Schizosaccharomyces pombe: one gene and its partners. Changing the gene in region 1 together with any one later gene gives a genetic interaction. Each region holds a gene or a part of one and is shown in the gene's direction. Other genes may lie near its edges.

Region 1 (7,673 bases):
ATTTATAGTCGTAGTCGTAGTTTATGACACCCTGGTAAAATAAAAGGAAATTTTTGGATTAACATGTTTCATTGGAAATTGATGTTATTTGATTTGCGCGCTCTAGTTTATCCGGTGTTGCAAAAATTTCGCTTCCATTCTGTCGGGTTTATTATAAAGAAGGGCATCGCATGTTGCTTATGCATTGTATCGTAGTGTAACGAATTGCTTTCAGGTTTACCCCCAAAGCCGCCTCCACGGGAACGCCCCACGGCAAAACCGCAATCGATGGGGCATGGTGTCATGCCATCCAAGTGGGAAAACAAGGGAGCGCACAATGGAGTCCGAGATGTCAAGAGGCAAGCAAGAGAGGGAAAACAGATGAATATGATATTCATGCGGCCCAGTCCATGGAGAAGCATATAGCATTTTATTTTCTATTTTTTTTTTTTTTTTTTTTTACTTTATTTTTATTATATTTCTGTTTTTTTTTTCTTTAAATCTATTTATTTACTTTTTTTTTGCGCGCAACTGAAATTAGCTTGTAAAATAAATTTGCAAAGATCCATGCGATTTATCAGCAATCTTTTCGTTTCTATCCATCGTTTGACTATATGAATGCATTAACAATATCTCAGCGACCCTATCGCTCTTCTCTATTTTGTTGCGCTACTCTTTGTTTTCATTCTACAGTTTTTGTTAACCTCGTTCTTATTGCTAACCTCACTCATATTGACTGTGTTAAGACATGCCCTTGATGGAACTTGTCGTGCCCTGGTATTGTTACTTCAATGTTAGTCTAGTCAACAGCTGGCAACACATAGCTTCATTGAATCCTGATAAGAAGCCCCTCCTCATCTAAAAAAAAAAAAATTAAAATTAAAACACGCTGAATAGTCAGCGTCTAGCTTTCCTATCCACTATTATCATCGTCGCATACGTCCACACTTGGTTGGGGTATCTAGAATACCAACGAAGAACTGCCTACCTAGAGATAAAGCAACCCAACCTAATTACCTACTTAGTAGCAAAAGTAAATTTAGACTATCACACATTTGAGATAAACTGATTATTTACAATGACACCTTGTTAATTTTAATTACACAACATGCAATCGTAGTAATAGCAATGTATATCTTCAAGGCAACTCGTTATGAAGCTTCATTTCTTTAAACTGATATCCTCGTTCTCTATATCTCTCTCTCTTTCTGTGTGTGTGTGTGTGTGTATCAACTCTCCCTTTGCTTTGCTCATACATGCAAGCGAACACATGAGCACCCATCATACCCAGCCTGCTCTCTCTCTCGCTCTTTACGCGCTCCGAAAATCTCCGTAATTGCAGCAACGATGACTTGCGGTGTCCAGCTTTTCCGGGTTAATTCATGATAAAAAAATGGAAAAAAGGCGATCCCTGGCACTATCTTTAGGCGCCTTTTCCGCCAATCATTCTAGATAAATTATCTTCCATATCATTCATTCGCTCCATGATTGGCCCATACTTCCAATCATCTGTGATATCTTGCATTCTGGACAAGAACCCCCCAATCAAATGCTGCCCATCTATTGCAACCCTTACCCCAAACTCTTTATCTACGCCGGTTTCCTCGTTAACGGAGTGTTGGAGGACGAGGTGCAATTAACCGGTCGTGGTATATAAAGTGAAGGCGCGAGTCACCTTACTCTTCTCCAAATAACATTTTCGAAGCCAAAAAAAAATTTCCACCCTTTTTTGTTTCGTTTCGTTTCGTTTGTTCGGCTTTCTTTCTTCTAGATTTGTAAAGAAAGATTTGATTGTGTAAAACGAAAAAAACGCTGTTATATATTTGCTTTTACTAGTAACATATATAATTCACGCTCCTACACATATTTTATTTTATACATATAAATTTTTTTTGGGGGGTTTTCTTCTTCTCTACACGGTAATTTAGATTAAACTCGGTATAATTGTTGCCTTGGTTTAAAGTTACTTTTTTTTTATTCTTCATTAATATACTTCGTTCGATATCCTTATCTCGGTTTTTCGATCGTTGACAAATTTTGTTAATCCTGGTTTACAGTAATCGATCTATTGTTTTGTAACGGGGTTTTCTTCTGTTGCTAGTTTTCAAATTTCCGTTCTCTAGACTTTCGTTTTTTTTTATCTTTTGTTTTTCTACCTTTTTTTTCCCTTTTACTTTCAATATGTCTCAATACGACGTTGAACCTCTTCTCTCCAAGGCTGCTATTTTAAACAAGTATGCCGATCTTCCTCAAAATGGTAAGGTTATGGCTGAGTACATCTGGATCGATGGTTTCAACCATCTTCGTAGCAAGACCATGACTCTCGATGCCAAGCCTTCCTCTATTGACCAATTGCGCGTTTGGAACTTTGACGGCTCTTCCACCGGTCAGGCCCCCGGCAACAATTCTGACACTCTTTTGAAGCCTGTTGCCATGTACAATGATCCCTTCCGTCGCGGTGACAACATTCTCGTTCTCGCTGCTTGCTACACCGCTGATGGCTCTCCCAACGGCTTCAACCATCGTGACGCTTGCGCCAAGTTGTTGGAGAAGCACGCTGACAAAGAAACTTGGTTTGGTATTGAACAAGAATATACCATGTTGGACTACTATGACCGTCCCTTTGGCTGGCCTAAGGGTGGTTTCCCTGGTCCTCAAGGTCCTTTCTACTGCGGTGTTGGTACTGGCCGCGTCTTTGCTCGTGACATCGTTGAGGCCCATTACAAGGCTTGTCTTTACGCTGGTATCAACATTTCCGGTATCAATGCTGAGGTTATGCCTTCCCAATGGGAATACCAAGTCGGCCCTTGCGCTGGTATTGAAATGGGTGACCAACTCTGGATGTCTCGTTTCCTTCTTCACCGCATTGCCGAAGATTTTGGTGTCAAAATCTCCTTCCACCCCAAGCCAATTTTGGGTGACTGGAATGGTGCTGGTTGCCACACTAACGTTTCTACTAAGGACACTCGTGCTGAAGGTGGTATAAAAGCTATTGAGTCTTATCTCGAGAAGTTTGCCAAACGCCATAAGGAGCACATTGCTGTTTATGGTGACGACAACGACTTGCGTCTTACCGGTCGTCATGAAACTGGTTCAATCGATAAGTTCACTTATGGTGTTGCCGATCGTGGTGCATCCGTTCGTATCCCCCGTTCTGTCGCCATGAATGGTTGCGGCTACTTTGAGGATCGTCGTCCTGCTTCTTCCATCGATCCTTACCTCGTCACTGGTATCATCACTGAGACCATGTTTGAGCATTAGACAATTTTCCCTCATAATTTAACGTGCAGGTCACGTCGACCACCCAGTTATTAACCATTTTGAAATATGTGTTTAAGTTTTTATAATATCACGTTTTTGTTTGTAGGACTTAATGAGTTTGTTGTGTAGTAATTTTGTTTATCAGCTTCACTTTTTTGTGATGTTTATCTTTTTTTAGAATATTTCATATGATGCATTCGTTGCAGTCATTTTTTTAAAGTATCACCATTTATCAACTGAGCTTGTTGCTCACCTTCTTATAATGATCAAGAGTGTTTTCATTGCGTATGTGAGGCTTTGATACAACCTTGGATTGTTCTTTTCTTGATATTCTTATACTAATATTAATGTTTCTCTTGTTTTTTTTTACCCAAGCTGTCCCTAAGTACAAGTACTTTACGAATCAGTTTGTCAACAACCCTGTTAATTTTTTTAAGTATTTTACAGTATTCACACAAGATTACGAATTTTTGAAATAAAACGATAGCTTATTCTAGACATGCAAAAATATATCTTTTTTGGTTGGTTACTTGTAAATTATCAATTGTGAATAATTAATGCATCTTTATTGTAAAGCTGATTCCATCCATGAAATCCATTCTTCAATGTTCGACATTTTTGCAACGCTGCCAGGAAGGAATTTAAGATCAGTATCTTCAATCTGATCTGCAACTGATTCCCAATCGACATCTTCAGAGACTATAGATTCGAGTTGAAGATTTTTCTCTTCCAAAATATTGTGCAGTTCAGCTTTTAACAATTGTTGAATTTTTTCCGCAGGTTGAGCAGTAAAAAGATCAAATTTATTACAGGCAATTAATAGATGAGGGACATGATGCTTGCGACATTTTAAAATTGTGTCAAACAACATCAATCCAACCTCGTGCACATCCCTGTCAATTGTAGCACTGTTGAGAACGAAAACTACAGCTTTTACATTATAATTTCCAGAGAATTTAGTAGTAATCCAACGTTTGGCCCTGGGATGCCCTGGAAGATCTACTAACCAAGCACCATATTTCCACACAGCTTCATTAGGTTCAATGCTAGGAACTGTAGTTTTCTTTTCTTTATAAATTAGCTATATAACAGTTAATAAGTATTCAAAGATTGTATATTATTGTTATACCTCACAAAACAAAGACGTTTTTCCAGAATCGCTAGGTCCAATTAAAAACACTGCTGGTAACTTCTTTTGAATTGTCTTTCTAGTAAAAAAAATTCCTAGGGTAGATATAATAGCTCCTATAATTATTGTAGCTACAATAATTTTAAAAGCTTGAGAAGTTCCATCCATATGCTGTTGTTGGTACCAGTTGGGTGTGTAGAAGATATATGTCAAATGTTACAAAGACCTCATTTTCATACGATCGTTGATTAAGATATATTTTTCAGAAGAGAGAAATAAATGTGAAAAAAAAAAAAAAAAAAAAAAGCATCCAAACTAGTTCTCGAAGTTTTGTTTAAAAAAGACAATTCTCGTACAGATTGCAGCAGTAGAGATTGACTGTACCCTCTTTTGAATTTAATTAAAACAATACAAAATACATTTTTCCTGAATGTATTACATGAGATAATTGCTTGATTAGACCAATCTTTGTTAATCGTCAAAGTATACATTTATATCATCGGTTCTTTTGAGTGGAATTAATTGTTGTGGGGCATCTTTAAGTTGTGAATTTGTGTAATTAGACTTATTGAATATTTTTGCTTCATTGTTTGCTCAACATTATTTATTATAGAAAAGTTCTTTTTGTTAAGTGATGACAATGATATAAATAATGAACTTCACGATTTTTTATTTTAAAATAATAAAACTATAGAATATTTTACATTTTGAAAGATAAGATTGCGTTGTTGTAATACTACTTCAATCCAAGTTATACTGAAGTTGCTGTCTTTCAGTCGAAGAGCTACTTTTATATCTACCTTTTTTACATTGCAGACTTGCCATCCCCCAACCGTAGATTTTGCTGGTTATATTAATTCCTTTTTTAAAGAGTCGTCTAACTCTCGTTATTAAATTGTGATACGAAGATGCCTCTTCCAGTACTTCGAGTTAAGCGTAAAGCTTCAGAAGATCCTGTTAACGCCCTATGTACGACCAAGCTTCTAAGTAAACTTTCTTTATCTAACTCCTTAATAATTTAGATTTGGAACTTGGAAACAATCCAAATTCTGTTTCAAGTACGAAAAGAAGGAAATTCGCCGGACGATATTGTATGCTACTTCTTGAGCTTTTGTGTTGGAATATTACACAAGGACTAATCATTTGAAAAACACAATTACCTTTTATTGACAGTTTCTAGATTTTAAACTATCACAAACGCTGAAGCAAGATGATCGGTATATTCAGATAAATGATGAATCTTCGGAACCCACTCATGAAGACGTTCGAAATATCCACAGTCATACAAAAATATCATCTCTAAAAAAGAACAATTACGGAATCCCTGTCGTCCAAACTTCTGAAGACGTTGTGAAAGCACCTACGCACATGGACTTGGGATCCCGTGAAAATACAAAAGGTATTCTTTCTTTCTCATCCCCACGCTATACAATTCAGAATTTACCTTCTACTCAAAGTAATAGAGTGTTCGACGCTATCCGTGTCGAACAAGGGTATGTCAACATCAAATAGAGTCAATTACTTAGTTCTGTTGTTATAAGAACTGGCTCTTGGCTTTTTTTACCTTAACTAACATTCATAGACATACTACGTATCATCCGCATCCTCAGCTAGATTCTATGATTCAAGAATATTTGTCAAATGGAGACCTTCCTCTTCAGCAATCTACGGAAGACTACGTATACGATATTTATGAAGCATCTAGCAAAGAACCAAACAAGCCAACGTTTGCTTATGGTGTAATTGATGCTTTGTCCATCCCAGACGCTTTTCGTTCTTCATTAGAACAGGAACTAGTCTCCGAGACAGTGGACTCTGATAAAGATGATCCATTACATGATGAAATTGATGAGGATTCAAACGCTGAAAGCTTCTATCAAAATAGCTATCCCGATGAAGACGAATGGCAAGATAGCAGTGAAAATGATGAATTTGCTTACTCCGATGATGCTGAGCAAGACTTTTATGATTAGATGTTTGCTACTTAAAAAAACGAACAAAATGGAAATCGGTTACAGTTTAATAGGTGAATGATATTATTTGGAGAAATTTATATCAGGAATTTAGTAAATTGTTCTATTGTATTTTTTAAAAACTCATACATTATATTGTGTCTGGGTAATATGTGTAAATTTTAATAGCATTACTATTTAGTTATATCATAGGATTCAATATGAGCCATGTTATTCATGAGTTTGGAGTCCACAATTTTGTGACTTGCAAAATCCTAGCACCAAGTTCTTGAATTTGTAGCCAGATTTAGCTACATCATAGACAATATGTCGACTAAAGAAGCAACTTCAGAGACTGCTGTCGATTATTCTTTGAGTAATCCTGAAACCGTCAATAAATATAAAATTGCAGGCGAAGTTTCTCAAAATGTTATTAAAAAAGTGGTAGAATTATGCCAACCTGGAGCCAAAATATACGATATTTGCGTTCGTGGTGATGAACTATTGAACGAAGCTATCAAGAAAGTATATCGTACCAAGGATGCTTATAAAGGTATTGCTTTCCCTACCGCTGTATCTCCTAATGATATGGCTGCTCATTTATCTCCTTTAAAAAGTGATCCCGAAGCCAATCTCGCTTTGAAATCGGGTGATGTTGTAAAAATTCTTTTGGGTGCTCATATTGATGGATTTGCTTCCTTGGTCGCTACTACAACTGTAGTTTCTGAAGAACCAGTTACTGGTCCTGCCGCTGATGTTATTGCAGCTGCTTCTGCTGCTTTGAAGGCTGCTCAACGCACTATTAAACCTGGTAATACTAACTGGCAAGTCACTGACATTGTTGACAAAATTGCTACTAGCTATGGCTGCAAACCTGTTGCTGGTATGCTTAGCCATCAGCAAGAGCGTGAAGTTATTGATGGCAAAAAACAGGTTATTTTAAATCCTTCTGATTCTCAACGTAGTGAAATGGATACTTTTACGTTTGAGGAAGGAGAAGTTTATGGCGTTGACATTCTTGTTTCAACATCGCCTTCTGGGAAAGTGAAGCGTTCTGACATTGCTACTCGTATTTACAAAAAGACCGATACAACTTACATGTTGAAACTTCAAGCTAGCCGCAAAGTCTATTCTGAAATCCAAACTAAGTTTGGTCCTTTCCCATTTTCCACTCGTAATATTAGTTTTGATTCAAGAACCAATATGGGATTAAATGAATGTACTAGCCACAAACTTTTGTTCCCTTATGAAGTTTTGCTCGATAAAGACGGAGGCATTGTTGCTGAATTCTATTCAACCATTGCTTTGACCAAAAAGGGTACAATTATTCTCAGCGATTCTGAACCTAAGGA
Region 2 (7,344 bases), 910 kb from region 1:
GAAATTACGAGTTCCACCAAACCACATGCGCAGAACGCGGTCCCTACTTTCCATCCAGAATATGGTCGTTATATGTTGGAAAGTACACCAGGTGCGCCTTATGGTTCCACTTTAAAGGATTTTACTTTTGTAGAGTACAATATGCGATTAAGAAGAAAAATTATTGAAAACCATTTACTACCCAATGAGCTACCTTTAACAATTACTAATTTCTTTCGTCTTGGAACACCAGGCTTTACGGATCCAGAAGTCGAAGCCAATGGTGCAATTTCGCGATCTTTTTTCTTACCGGACGATGTTATCAACACACATGTTCGTTTCCCGACCTTGACTGCTAATATTCGTCAAAGGCGCGGGAGAAAAGTGGCCATGAATGTTCCGATTTTCTTCGATAAAAATACAATTAAACCATTTCACGATCCTACCGTTCCTTGGGATAGAAATTTGTTTCCTGAAGATGCAAATGCACGAGATGGTGCAGCGTTAGACAATCATATTTACATGGACAGTATGGGTTTCGGTATGGGATGCTGTTGTCTACAAATTACATTCCAAGCTAAAAGTTGTGATGAAGCTAGACTTTTATACGATCAGTTGACTCCTATTACCCCCTTGATGCTGGCATTATCTGCCGGAACTCCAGCATTTCGAGGCTATTTGGCTGATCAAGATTGTAGATGGAATGTGATTGCTGGTGCTGTCGATGATCGAACCGAGGAAGAAATGAAAACTGTGCCAAAATCAAGGTATGATTCTGTTGACTTATATATCTCGAATGACAAGCGCAATTTACCGGAATATAATGACGTCCCGGTCGTTATAAATCAAGATTGCTACGATAAGCTAATAAAAGATTGCATTGATGAAAGATTGGCTAAGCACATGGCTCACATATTCTCTCGTGATCCTTTGGTTATTTTCAGTGACAGCATTTTACAAGACAACAGTGTATCCAATGCTCATTTTGAGAACCTAAACTCAACTAACTGGCAATCTATGCGCTTTAAACCTCCTCCACCAGGTAGTGATATTGGTTGGCGTGTAGAATTTAGATCAATGGAAATTCAAATAACTGATTTTGAAAATGCGGCATATTCAATTTTTGTTGTGATGCTTTCTCGTGCAATTCTATCCTTCAATTTGAATCTGTACATGCCGATATCGCTAGTGGATGAAAACATGAAAGCTGCTCATGCTCGTGATGCCATTCATCGTAAAAAGTTTTGGTTCCGTTGCAATCCATTTCCTGACGCAAGTACTGATGATGAATCTGGTCAGTTCCGTCAACTTACAATTGACGAGTTATTTAATGGTGAGCACCGTGAAAACGGATTCCCAGGTTTAATTACCATTGTTCGAAGCTATTTATACTCTTGTAATCCTGATGCCAAAACTATTTGCCTAATTGAACGTTATATTCGCCTAATTTCTCAAAGAGCAAATGGCCAATGCTTGACTGCTGCTTCGTGGATACGCAATTTCATTACAACTCATCCTTCTTATAAGCAAGACAGCGTGGTCAACGACGAAATTAATTATGATTTAATTAGAAGAATAGCAAAAATTGTAGATGGCGACTACGACGATACGTTACTTGGAAAATGCTCATAATGCAGATGAATTCTGAGTGGAATATATATAAGATTTTTTTCTACTTAATAACATATCTAAAATTTTGGTAATTTAAATTCCTTTGCAATTCAGTATTACAAGTGTAGTTCTTTGGCAACTGAGACTTCCCATTGATTCCTTTCATTAAGTGAATACTCATTATTTAATTAGTGCTAATATATATTCAGTAACTACATAGTTGATTTTCTGTATTGCCCCACCCTTCCCTATTGTTATGTGTATACGCAGGTAGGGTGAGCGAACGCAATGCATGCACCCTTTTAAGAGTCCGCGCTACGCATTTTAACTGCCTTTTGCTGTAATGGCTCCACGTTCTTCCGCAGTACATGTTGCCGTTTATTCTGGGGTTGAAGTCTATGAATGCTTTATTAAAGGTGTCTCTGTGATGCGCAGACGCCGCGATTCCTGGTTGAATGCTACACAAATCTTGAAAGTGGCTGACTTTGACAAACCACAAAGGACAAGGGTTTTAGAAAGACAAGTACAGATTGGTGCGCATGAAAAAGTACAAGGTGGATATGGAAAATATCAGGGTAAGTTGTCTACTGTTACGCGTTGTGACATGATTTGCTATCTTTGAACAACGCGAACAATTGAGTGTTTACTAAGCCAAATCGAGGTATTTTAATACCTTTTTGTATTAAATATCTCTATGGACGCGTCCTCTAAATGATTGACGGTATTAACCAAACTATAGGAACTTGGGTTCCATTTCAGCGTGGGGTCGACCTGGCCACAAAGTATAAGGTTGACGGAATAATGAGCCCAATATTGAGTCTTGACATTGATGAGGGAAAAGCAATTGCTCCAAAGAAGAAGCAGACCAAGCAGAAAAAGCCTTCTGTACGTGGCCGTAGAGGCCGTAAACCGTCGTCACTTTCTAGTAGCACTTTGCATTCCGTCAATGAAAAACAACCGAATTCTTCTATATCACCAACAATTGAGTCATCTATGAATAAAGTGAATTTGCCTGGTGCAGAGGAGCAAGTTTCTGCAACACCTCTGCCAGCGTCTCCTAATGCACTGCTATCACCAAATGATAACACTATAAAACCTGTTGAAGAGTTAGGCATGTTGGAGGCACCGCTTGACAAATATGAAGAGTCACTACTTGACTTCTTTCTTCACCCAGAAGAGGGACGCATTCCTTCCTTCCTGTATTCGCCGCCCCCGGATTTTCAAGTTAACAGTGTTATTGATGATGATGGCCACACTTCTCTTCATTGGGCATGCTCAATGGGACATATAGAGATGATTAAGTTATTACTGAGAGCCAATGCTGACATTGGCGTGTGTAACAGACTGAGTCAAACACCATTGATGAGGAGTGTTATCTTTACCAATAATTATGACTGCCAAACTTTTGGACAAGTGCTTGAGCTTCTCCAGTCTACTATTTATGCTGTTGACACCAATGGTCAGTCAATTTTTCATCATATTGTGCAATCAACCTCAACTCCTTCAAAAGTTGCAGCGGCCAAATACTATTTGGATTGCATATTAGAGAAACTAATATCGATTCAACCATTTGAAAATGTTGTGAGATTGGTAAATCTACAAGATTCAAATGGAGATACCTCTCTATTAATTGCTGCTCGAAATGGAGCCATGGATTGTGTAAACTCTTTATTAAGTTATAACGCCAATCCTTCTATTCCTAACCGACAAAGACGTACAGCTTCCGAGTATCTTTTGGAAGCTGACAAAAAGCCACATTCATTGTTACAGTCAAACTCAAATGCTTCGCATAGTGCTTTTTCATTTTCCGGAATAAGCCCTGCTATTATCTCGCCATCATGCTCATCGCATGCTTTTGTTAAGGCAATTCCTTCAATATCTTCGAAATTTTCTCAATTAGCAGAGGAGTATGAATCTCAGCTTCGAGAAAAAGAAGAAGATTTGATTAGAGCGAATCGTCTCAAGCAAGACACGCTTAATGAAATTTCCAGAACTTATCAGGAATTGACCTTTCTGCAGAAAAATAACCCCACTTATAGTCAATCTATGGAAAACTTGATTCGAGAGGCCCAAGAAACTTACCAGCAGCTTTCGAAGAGGTTACTAATATGGTTGGAAGCACGACAAATCTTTGATTTAGAGAGAAGCCTCAAGCCACATACTTCATTATCTATTAGTTTTCCTTCCGACTTTTTAAAAAAGGAAGACGGACTTTCGTTAAATAACGATTTTAAAAAGCCGGCTTGCAACAACGTGACCAATTCTGATGAATATGAGCAATTAATTAATAAGTTAACTTCTCTCCAAGCTTCCCGCAAAAAAGATACTTTGTATATTAGAAAATTGTATGAAGAACTAGGAATTGATGATACAGTTAATAGTTACCGTCGTCTTATTGCAATGAGTTGTGGCATCAACCCTGAAGATTTGAGTTTGGAAATACTCGATGCTGTGGAAGAAGCATTAACCCGAGAAAAATGAATCTTGGAAACTTTCATTTACATCTTGTCTTAATGTTACGTTCTTTATTTAATGATACGAGTTATGATAGTTAATGATTTTATCCATGACACTCACTGTCAAACTGCATTTATCAACGTTATCATACTTTGATAGAAAAACACGAGTTATTTTATATATTATTTTCGAATGGAATCAAGTGGAAAAAACATATATTGCTCCTTCCTAACAAAACTATTATGTTACTTATTTATGCGCAGCTAAAACAATCTACTATTGTAAAATGATTTATCTCATTTACAGCGCGTGCTTCCATTCATGATTCATCCTTTTTGCATTCGCACGTTAATGATCATCTAAAGGATACCAAGTTACTGAGCTTCACTTTAATTTGAGGGTCCTGTTCAAATAGGTAAAAGAGTGATTAATACAAATAATCAATTATTTAATTGAAAGAAAATCTATAGCAGTATTTCTCGTAAATACGATATAAAAATATGTAACCTATAAACGCAGAAATCGCGTTTTTTTGAATACATTTATTATGTTTACTTAGCATACATAAATTTAATAACGCTGTTGGAATACACAATTTGAATTAACGTACTGGTTTAACTAGAGGACGTTAGTGCAGCCTTTCCCCAGCAGCTACCATACTTACTTTAGTCGTGTATATGTATAATTGAAAATTTCAACAATCTTTTATTTTTGTTCCTTCGTTGAAATATCTACTAAAATATTTTAACTTTGATAATTAAGTATTGCATAAGGAAATGGATGCGTTGAAACTTTTGACAACTAATGTCAAATTTAAGAATAAAGTACCTCAACCTTCTATAAAAGAAAAAGAAGCAAAAAAATTACAAGGTATTACTAAGGGAAAAGCTAAAGTTACTGGTAATAATCCTGTTGATCCAATTGAAGAGTTTCCGGAAGGAATACTTTGTGAAAACTTAAAAAAACAAAACATAACAGAATGTACCACAATTCAAAGATATGCCATTCCAACGATAGGTTCTAAACGAGACCTATTGGCATGTGCACCAACTGGTTCTGGAAAAACTATTGCATATCTATTCCCAATTTTGCAAAAACTTCAGTTACATGTTCCGGGTGGATATAGAGCGATTATCGTAGCGCCGACTAGAGAACTGTGCGAGCAAATATATAGACAGGCAGAAAAGCTGTCTTTTGGAACTTCATTGAAGATAATTGAATTAAGTAAATCTAATGAAAAAATTCAAGAAAAAGCGCCCAAGCTCCGGGAAAAGTATGACATGTGCATAGGCACCCCGATGAGATTAGTACAAGCAATACAAACCGGATTGTCCTTTGAAAAAGTAGAATTCTTTGTTATGGATGAAGCTGATAGACTTTTTGAGCCTGGCTTTATTGAACAAACTGATCATATTCTAAGTGCATGCACCAGCTCTAATATTTGTAAAAGCCTTTTTTCCGCTACTATTCCATCACGCGTCGAAGAGTTAGCTAAAGTCGTAACGGTTGATCCGATTCGAATCATCGTTGGTTTGAAAGATGCAGCCACGGATAGCATCGATCAGAGACTCTTGTTTGTTGGTTCGGATACTTCCAAAATTGTGATTTTGCGTCAAATGATTTCAAATGGAGAGTTAAAGCCTCGAGTCGTAATATTTGTTCAAGATATAGAAAGAGCGAAAGCATTGTACACAGAACTCTTATTTGATGAAATTCACGTTGGTGTCATTCATGGAGAATTACCACAAGCCAAGCGCGAAGAAGCACTTGCGAAATTTCGGAAGGGTGAAATTTGGGTTTTAATAGCAACAGATCTTCTTGCTCGTGGTATCGATTTTCATGGTGTAAAGATGGTCATCAACTTTGACTTTCCTCAAAGTGTTCATAGTTATATTCATCGTATCGGTCGAACTGGGCGTGCAGGAAATACAGGACAGGCCGTTACTTTTTTTACAAAGGAAGATGGTGAATATATCAAGCTTATTGCTGGTGTAATGCGTTCATCAGGTTGCGAGGTTCCAAACTGGGTTATGGCACTTCCTAAACCTAGTAAAGAAATGAAAAAGAAGTTGAAGAAGAGTCCTCCTAAAAGAAAGAGGATTACTACTAGAGCTTCTTACGACAGACAAAAGGAACAGCGTAAGAAGGAGTATATTAAGAAGGTAAAAAAAGAAGCCTCTATCAAAAAGCATAATGAAGCTACTGGAGACAGTGGACAATAGATTGTTGCTACTGAAAGTATTTATATAAAGGGTTTTGGGTTTTAGTTTAGTTTTTGTGTTCATTTAAAAAAGTCATATTCACTCCAAAATACTATTGCTTTGATATAATAGAGCCTTATATTTTTTAGCAATCATATTATTTTCTTTTACTTTTATTTGTGGTAAGAAACTTTTATGTTACTGTGGTACCTGACATATCTAACTTTACATCTTTTGTTTAACAATAATGCAGCAAGTGCTGTACGGCTTTTTAAAACTGATAAAAATCTACACGAGTACAATTAATGTAGGCGTAAACAGGTACAAGGAGATTATTTTATTTTAAGTACCCAACAGGGTTTTTGCAATTGTTATTTTAACTACAATTTGAAAGCTATATTACGTTGCTGACACTGTTTTATAATTTCTCGTTTTCGAAATCACGAGTGTGTTTCAGTAAATATTATATTGTTTTAACTTACTTTATATTGTGTATCATTGAAATTACCTATGAACGGAGAAAAATTGGTGTTACTTAATTGGTATATGGGAGTAGAAACTTCATCACAACCTTAACTTACCGAATCCCATCTCTTTCCAATTCAGGCTATTTCGAAGTATAATGTTTTCCACAAGTCGAATTATCTCTCGTATTAATTACAATTTTTTAAGGAAGAGTCACTACTCTACTAAAACAGTTGCTGAACAAGCCAAGGGTCGTTTCACTCCCTTAATCCAAAAATTATCGGGTATTTTAAACATAACGGTTAATTTGTTTAACTAACTTTTTCAATTTAGCTGTACAACAACCTATTATGTACTGGGCAAATGTTTCGAAAGAGCTGGTTCAACAAGTATATCATTCTCAAAAAATTGCACCCCCTTCCAATACTCATGTAAGCAACTATTTGCTACAAAGAACAGATCCACTAATTTCTCTTTTAGTCTCCCTTCCTTTTTTGGAAAAGTCAATCCTCTGAAGCATGGGGCCGCAATTTTTTCATCGCAGTTGAAATAGTTGGTATTTTCTGCGCTGGCCAGATGGTTGGTCGTAGAAAAATTACTCCATATCATTAAAAAGATGAATTTAATCTTT
Region 3 (7,960 bases), 1.7 Mb from region 1:
TTTGACGTATTGCACTTTTTTTGGCTTATTGCTGGATCAACATGTATAAGAGTCTATTTAAAGGATTTCCGTTGTAAAAATACAACTTATCACACTCACACGTTGACACTAAGAGAAAAAAGCTATAGCGAACAATGATACACACACATATACATACGCTGTTGCTATTCACATACGCTGCCTTGATACACACTGTCTTGACTATAAGGAAAAAAGGTTTGGCTTGGTCACAAGTAAAATGTAGCGATGACTTTCGTACTCTACTAATGATTGTTTAGTGAAGAATGATAAAAGATAGTAGTGTGTATTGATTATACTTGTATAATGCAGTTGAATTTACTATGAATAATTTGGAAATTTCGCACAACTCGTTGGTCCTCTTAAAAAAGGAGAAATTTCAGTTTGCGAATATTGGTTTCTCTCTCTCTTTACTTTGCTTTGCTTTGATCTGCTCTACTATACTCTACACCCTTGCCTTTCTGCTTTCTTTGTTTGGTTGCAAAATTCACAGATCGCAATGAAAAAATGTTTTAAACTGCGAACTAATAAGTAGAATTGATTTTGCAATGAAAAGTAAAATTAAATTAAATAGAAAAAGAAAATTTTAAAAAGAGACAAAGAAGAGTAAGGAAAAAAAAGCCCCCCCCCCCCCCCCCCCGAAAAAAAAAGAAAAACAATGTATTCATGGTAAAAACAAAAAAAGTTTTTACTCATCATTCATTGTATCGTTGATCAATTAAAGAATACAAAAAAAAAGTAAGCATAAACCCATTTGGAAACATTGCATCAAAGGATTTTTCATTTTCATTTTCATTTTTATTTTGTTTTATTTTATTTTATTTTATTTTTTTGTTTACCATCATTGATGAAACAGACTAATGAAAAAGAAACTCTAGTACATTTTTATTTTTATTTTTATACTATTGAGCTTTAAATATTAGAGTATTTTATTCTATTGAATTTGAATTGAATTTATTTTAATTTTGGTTAAATTAATTGATTTTCTTTTCTTTGAAATTTTTATTTTATTCAATCTTTTTACACTTTCTAACGTACTACCAAAGTCCCTAAATACCGTATCGCCCTTCTACCTAAAATTCTTTCAAAATGACACACTAAACCACAGTATTTGCAAAAGAAATACTCACCCATCCCACTCATTGATTTCAATAATCTTCAATTCTCAAACACAAAACGACATCCTTTCAACTACTTCTAAAAGAATAAATATTTTCCTTTTTTTATACTATTCATCTTATCTAAACTCCTCCTGCATCCATTTCTCTTCTCCATTTTTTACCCATCTCTCACCTAACCTATATATACTTATATGTAAACAAACCTACTACTCTCTATACTTTCCATACCAAATATCCTCAAACATCCACGCAAACCTCCAATCTTTTTAATTATTCAAACTCTTTAATACCATTCCTATCTAAATTTTTTACTTCAAACTTTTTTTTTTTTTTCTCATTTCTTTTCGCTCTATTTCTGTCACCAACTCTCGTTCCCTGCCGGCTCCTTGTGTACACTTTGCCCTACCTGTCCTAACCACCAAACCCTCTATTGTTCGGAAAACAAACACTACACATGCATTGAATGACTCTGCAGTCTACAGATTCCGCTATTGTGATCGATTCTGAAGCTGATGTTGACATTTCAAGCTCACAAGCTTCTCCTTCCAAGGTTTGTCGCGTATTTCCCTTTCTTTCTGTTCGCTTTTTTTTTAACCCTCTTTTTAGGACAATATTGCTTTGTCAGAACACAATGTTATAACTGTTCTTGATACTCCTCAAAGATCTACTCAATGCGATAGTTTGCTAAAAAGTTTCAGGTAAGTTGACAAATATTGTTGCCAGCATTTCCTTCCTTTCCACACTTTTCTTCCACATCTCGCTAATCGTTCATTTGGGGTCAGTACTCCTTTAGTTTCCGGCTCCGAAGATGTTCTCCCTAGTCCCCGTGATGCCCTTAATATCACTAATAAAAAGTCGGTTACCGATAATCTTTTGCTCTCTTTAACTTCTTCAAACCAGTCAACAAACACGAATTTAAATCCTTCTTCACGCGTCGAAATCATTAATTTAAACTCTTCTCCCCCTAATTCCCTTTCCTCGCAACCAAAACACCAAGAATTTCATTTATTCCATACTCCCACCATTCCTAGGACTACACAATTGTCATCGAAAACCTCCTCTCCCATCGTTATTCCCGACGACAATGAACAAGTGGCTTCCCCTTTATCTAAAAAAGCTGCTTCTTTGACTTCTTCACCCTTAAAAGATTTCCAGTCCTCCCCGCCGCTCTCCACAGTCCTTCAAAAATCCCACTCCCTTCACGATATACTACTGGACACGAATGATGACGATCATTTCCCATTTACCCAGAGTCCGCTAACAAAAACAAAATCTTTCAACGATGCACTAACATCCTCATCCTCTATACTAAAGCCATGCATGCCATCCATCGCTAGTCCTACTTCTAATCGATTATCACATGCCCCTTCTACGCCTAATTTATTTCCTAACCAAGACAGCTCCAATACAATCGACCTCATCAATAACCGTTCCAAAACCTCCGTAGAAAATCAAGAAAGAACTTTCAATCTCACATCTGATGTGCACTTAGATAGCCCGACCTCTCCATCCAAGCATTCTTCAATTGAACCCAATACTAGTCAGGAAGATAGTTTTCAAGAACTTCCTTCTCTAAACAAACTTTCCATTCAAAGTAGAGCTTTTAAAAAAATGAGACTACCCAAAATTTCAAGGACTACCGATACGCCTCCTGCCTCTACTTCAAATTCAAATAAAAAAAATTTGGATAAATTAAAAAAAATGAGAAAATTATGCTCTAGGAGCTTGGAACCGTACGAGCTAGACTCTAATACACAACGTAAGAGGAAACGTTACGAAGATTCTTTGAAAAAATCAAAAACTTTAGATAAGGTTGACAGCTTGAATAGAAAGATGGCGAAAGAATTGGACAGAAAGAATTCAAAGGAACTTCAAAAAATTAACAAAGTTAAGAGAACCAAAGAAGAATGCCTATCTGAGATAATTCTTTTATCGCCGGATGATTGGGCTTCATCTTGGTATTCAACTGTTCGCTCTCAATTAGATTCATACAACTGCCAATTCGTTGTCAATTCAAATCAACCAAAAGACTCAATTATGTGGAAAAGGAAGGTAAACAATGTGTTTAATTCTTCTACCAACCGGTTTGAACTTAGCATAGAGCATGAACAAATCGAACCTTTTGCCCTACTACGGTTGAAATGCCGGGATTTTATAAAATACATCGAAGAGGACCAAGCTGATACTTTTTTTCATGAAATGTCTGAAAAGTTTAAAGGCTGTAAGCTAATACTGTTGCTGGAAGGCATCCCAAACTATTTTAAATCTCTGAAAGCAGAATTAAATCGTCAATATGCAGCAGCTGTTAATAGCGGTACCAGACCTTTGTTATTTGGTTCTTTATCAAAATATCAAAACTTTACTAAAGAAAAGTTAGAGAGTGAAATCGTCCGCTTCAGTTTCGAACATAGTATTCTTATAAACACTTCAAATGACGAAAAAGAAACCGCTCAATGGATAGTTTCCTTTACCGGCGACATAGCTTTATCTCGTTACAAGCACTTTTCTAAATTTTCAGCTAGAGCCTCTACTACCGAAATAGGACATGTCAAATCCGCCGATAGAATTGAAAACTCTCTAAATTTTATGTTGCGGCAAATACTACGAGTTACACCTAACATTGCTAACGCCATATGCGATCAATTTGACAGTATACCATCTTTAATTCATCATCTAAAAACTCACGGCGAGGAATCATTAACCAACGTTGTCATCCAATCTAGTATTAGTGAACGAAATTTAGGTCCGGTTTTATCGCGCCGTATATATAACACTTTCTTATGTAAAGAAGCATCCAGTGATGCACCATAGTGATCGGTCATTATTTGTATTTCATTAATTGTTATCATGATATTTTTTCCTTTTTTTTTCTATCTATGAAATTTTCTTATGATATACTTTCTTCTAACTAAAAATTAACTAATATCGGTTTCTAACTAAAGCACCTCATCTTCTATATCGTCGGTAGTATTCGTTCAAACTTTCTAGATCAATCAGATTCCAAACTTTCATCGTACTGGTTCAAGGCACGTCTAATGGCTAACACATTGTCTACAATGACAGCATCAACTCCAAAACGTACTTGGCGTCGGACATTGTCAACATCATTATTGAGAACACCATAGGTGTAGCAAGATAAACCCAATTGTTTAACTGCCTTGATCAGCCTCGGGCACATAATGAGCGGTTCACAAGCACTAACGATACCCAGAAAACTCCACTGTGAGGCAAACTTTAAAGCTTGTCTAAGCGATGCTGCACGAACGTCTGTTCGGTAAGCGGTACCTCCTTCAGTCAAAAAAAGAACAGGATTAGTCGATTTCAAAGAAAGTAAGATGCATATATCAGGATTAAAACTAGAGAAAATATACTTTCTTTTACCACCATACTTTTTGATTATCGATAGAATGGTATCCACGTAAAAGTTATAATCATAAGCTATAGGGAGCAATTTCTCTTCCTCAGCTTCACTTAGCATGGGGTACTTAAATTCCACATTAAGTCCTACGGATTGTGGAACTTCCTTCAAAACATCCTTTAAAGTTGTGAACGGTGCACAAATCGTATGACCAAGGGCATTACCCTTATATACTTTAGGCTTCAAACGTGCGTTTTCTTCAGCAAATTCACCGAAATTAACCTGTGATCCTGAAGGTGTAAATGAGGAACTGTAGGCCCTAGGACGTCTCTTCTGCTGAATGTCACTTGCATCATCTTTAATTTCTTCTGAAGGAGAGTGGGAAGCCCCTAAGAATTGCTCCAAAGTCAGCGAATGCACTTGTGCATCCGTTCCGGTTTCGTTTACGATAAAATCATGGTATACCACTGGGACCATGTCTTTAGTCATTTGCACATCTAATTCAACGTAAGAAGCACCAAGATCTGCCGCTTTTATAAACGATTGTAAAGTGTTCTCGCCAAGTTGAAGACTCAAACGATCAGGCTGATTCTTACCAAGTCCACGATGTCCGATAACCGCAACACCATTCGATTTCCCTGATTCTGATGTAGTTGTGGCAGATTTGTGTAAAGAACGCTCAGCGTCTTCCAATGCAGTGCGACTTACGTTGGAAACTGCTTCCAGCGATAAGGCAGGGGTACTTATGCCATCATTTGACGAAAATCTATCATCAACTGTCACCTTAGAAATAAGAACATCCGCATTAACATGAGCTATTGGTTTAAGAGTTTTACTCGAAAGTAATGGTAAGGGTGCCAAAGGTTTCAACGACTGCATATGATTCCCCAAATCAGATACCAGAGAAGTCAAGCAACATACAGTTCTCCCTAATATTTTATGGGATCGATTTGCTAACAAATCAATTGTAATAGTTGCTTCTTCTGTATTTCTTGTAACGAAAACCAATTCATACGGTGGAGAAGACCCGTTTACAGGTTGCGGACTATTTTCTTGTGCGGCATCATAATGCAAATGAATAGAGTCGTCGGCAATTTCATCAGGCTCCGCCAAATTCTCTAAGCAAACTTCACCGGCATTATCAAAATGGGAGCGAGGGATATCAATAATCACTGAGTTGTTTTGGCTAGAAGATGGTGTCATAGAGCCATTAGAAGCAGTAGTGTCGTTTTTACTCAACGAGTCAGTAGATTGAGACATGAAATCTACTGAAGATGGTCTACTTGCGGCAAAAGATGGAGACCGCCCTGAAACATACACAGCATCATCACCTTGAAGACTAACGCGGATTCTACCGGCCAAATCACTGATTCGAATAATGACCACTGAACGAGATAATTGTAAATCCATGGCACGTTTTCTGCTCCTCATTTCGGAACTTGAGGCTTTGATATAAAGTGTATGTAAATTAACAGGCTTATCACTCAAGGCGACTTGAGTTCTAAGTTTATCTGCTAGGTGTAAATACCCCCGAACCACAGCTTGTTCCATAGCAGTCCAACCTGAAGAATCAACTTCGTCAACCGAAGCGCCCGAGGCAACTAAAATTGAAACAATTTCGGAAAGTCCAGTAGCTGATGCAAGCATCAAAGGAGTCCATGAATTCAAAAAATCCCTTGCGCTAGGGTTTGCTCCAAGTTTGAGTAACATTTTAACACATTCCGGCCTGTTATAACGAACAGCGGTGTGTAAAGCTGTATTGCTACTAGCATCAACTTCGTTAGGATTGAATCCTGCAAGGATGAGTTCTTCTACGATCAAATCGTAATCGCCTACACAGCAAGTCAAGACCAAAGGAGGAACGGGTCCCGGCTTGGTAGAGGTTGTTTCCTTATCCTGAGCAGAAAGCAAAGCATGAAGAGCTTCAACATGATTTCCCTTAATAGCCAAAGTCAAGGGAGTGTCGTGCATTACATCGCGCCAACATGGAAGCATCCAATTCAATGGCTCAGAGTCAGGGATTGATGAAACAATTTCACAAAACTTACTGCACAATCCTGCCCAACCGAGTTTCGCAACAGAGTGCATCACACTCTGTCCCTTGCTATTTCGTTCTACAAGAAGAATCCTTGAAAGTAAACGATTAGAATGGTATGAATCCACATAAACCACTGAACAAATTTGTTTCAACACCTCCAAAAAATATAAAACTCCTTCGTCAGGACCACAGAGGTTGTTAATTGCACGACGTAATGCAGAAGCCAGGCACTCAGAACGTAAACCAATTCTTCCTATAACTTCACGCATACAAGCTTTGGCTCCCGCAATGATGGAGGCAGCCAGTATATCTACGAGTACACTATCAGGTGCATTTATACAAGCGGTCACGACCTCTGCGGCAATATCCAGTTGAATAAAAGCTAAAAGATCCTTCTTCAAGGGATGGTGAATTGACAATTTTTCCAACTTGTCTTTCACTTCACTATCGTTTTGAGAAGAATTCAAAGCCTTCAGGGCAATCATGGACTCATAGATCTTGGACGAATTCGCAAAATCAAGCTTACACACCTTCTGCTCATAAAATGTAACCAAGCGCTCCGTACCAAGGTGCTTATCCATATTGGCAGCTAGCTTTTCAAAGGCCAGCTTATTCCATTCACAAAAGGATGATAATTGTTGAAGACGAAAGTCTAGCTCTTTCAGTTGCTTCGCCTTTTCTTCAGCTTCGTAAGATGAAGACAGTGCCTGTGTAATTTCAGTATTGGGAGATTTCTCCGTAGACAAACGAGTGACATAATTATCAAGCTGGACAATGCGAGTATTGAACAAGTTAACAACCTTCTGAAGATCGTTTTCCAACATTTCGTCGATCGATCCCTTTGGCCATGATCCGTCACTATTACGCCTCAATAATTTCTTCCGTTCATCCTCGGGAAGCGCAGCAACCAGTTGAATCTTTCGCTTTATTCCATTATAATCAACATACTGTTCTGCAAACTCCGGGATCAACGCCAATTGAAGACTGTCGGTTAGCAGACAATGACTAAAGCAAACCAACAATTATAAACTAAGAAAAAGAAAAGTTTAAACAATGGTTAGTCATACGGTTGCAAATGATGAGAATGAAGGGAAAGGAGTTTACTGGCAGATCATCTTAATTAATCCCGTACTCCTATTCAACACAAATGCGTATCCTCAAACATAACCGTTACATTCAAGACATTAAAAGCCTTAACCATAATAAACTTTTTGCAAATATTGCATTCTTTAACGGCTATTTGAAGGTCTAAACAACATTCTAAAATGTGTAAAATATGTCGACCTACCTTTCACCAAACTTCATAATAAAGAGGACTGGGATTCAGGAATTTGAGAGAGATCGAAATTAATGGAGTAATCCAATCGTTCATAAACTACTATTTGGCTAAGGCCAAGTTCAAATACGTGGTAGAATACCACTACT

What was found. A genetic interaction does not mean that the proteins touch.
Region 2: mutations in iwr1 (region 1) and res2 together harm fitness less than expected from each alone (positive genetic interaction), as found in Schizosaccharomyces pombe (2 studies listed by BioGRID).
Region 3: mutations in iwr1 (region 1) and eme1 together harm fitness less than expected from each alone (positive genetic interaction), as found in Schizosaccharomyces pombe (2 studies listed by BioGRID).

Annotation. Positions count from the first base shown.
Region 1 is NC_003424.3:1,592,059-1,599,731, reverse strand, and holds iwr1 (RNA polymerase II nuclear import protein Iwr1), read left to right. Parts: upstream 1-5,192; 5' UTR 5,193-5,277; coding exon 5,278-5,338; intron 5,339-5,391; coding exon 5,392-5,460; intron 5,461-5,549; coding exon 5,550-5,862; intron 5,863-5,951; coding exon 5,952-6,342; 3' UTR 6,343-6,430; downstream 6,431-7,673. Other genes in the region: SPOM_SPAC23H4.05C (uncharacterized protein), read right to left, coding at 108-401; glutamate-ammonia ligase Gln1, read left to right, coding at 2,161-3,240; signal recognition particle receptor beta subunit Srp102, read right to left, coding at 3,806-4,321, 4,370-4,537; peptidase family curved DNA-binding protein Cdb4, read left to right, coding at 6,649-7,673. UniProt on the Schizosaccharomyces pombe protein: Directs RNA polymerase II nuclear import.
Region 2 is NC_003424.3:684,660-692,003, forward strand, and holds res2 (MBF transcription factor complex subunit Res2), read left to right. Parts: upstream 1-1,875; 5' UTR 1,876-1,933; coding exon 1,934-2,165; exon of another isoform or gene 2,166-2,329; coding exon 2,330-4,071; 3' UTR 4,072-4,520; downstream 4,521-7,344. Other genes in the region: glutamate-cysteine ligase Gcs1, read left to right, coding at 1-1,611; ATP-dependent RNA helicase Rok1, read left to right, coding at 4,824-6,269; atp20 (F0-ATPase subunit G), read left to right, coding at 6,871-6,997, 7,047-7,144, 7,194-7,325.
Region 3 is NC_003424.3:3,293,510-3,301,469, reverse strand, and holds eme1 (Holliday junction resolvase subunit Eme1), read left to right. Parts: upstream 1-1,556; 5' UTR 1,557-1,602; coding exon 1,603-1,689; exon of another isoform or gene 1,690-1,745; coding exon 1,746-1,837; exon of another isoform or gene 1,838-1,921; coding exon 1,922-3,950; 3' UTR 3,951-4,128; downstream 4,129-7,960. Other genes in the region: glycerophosphoryl diester phosphodiesterase Gde1, read right to left, coding at 4,129-7,519, 7,824-7,840. UniProt on the Schizosaccharomyces pombe protein: Interacts with mus81 to form a DNA structure-specific endonuclease with substrate preference for branched DNA structures with a 5'-end at the branch nick. Typical substrates include 3'-flap structures, D-loops, replication forks and nicked Holliday junctions.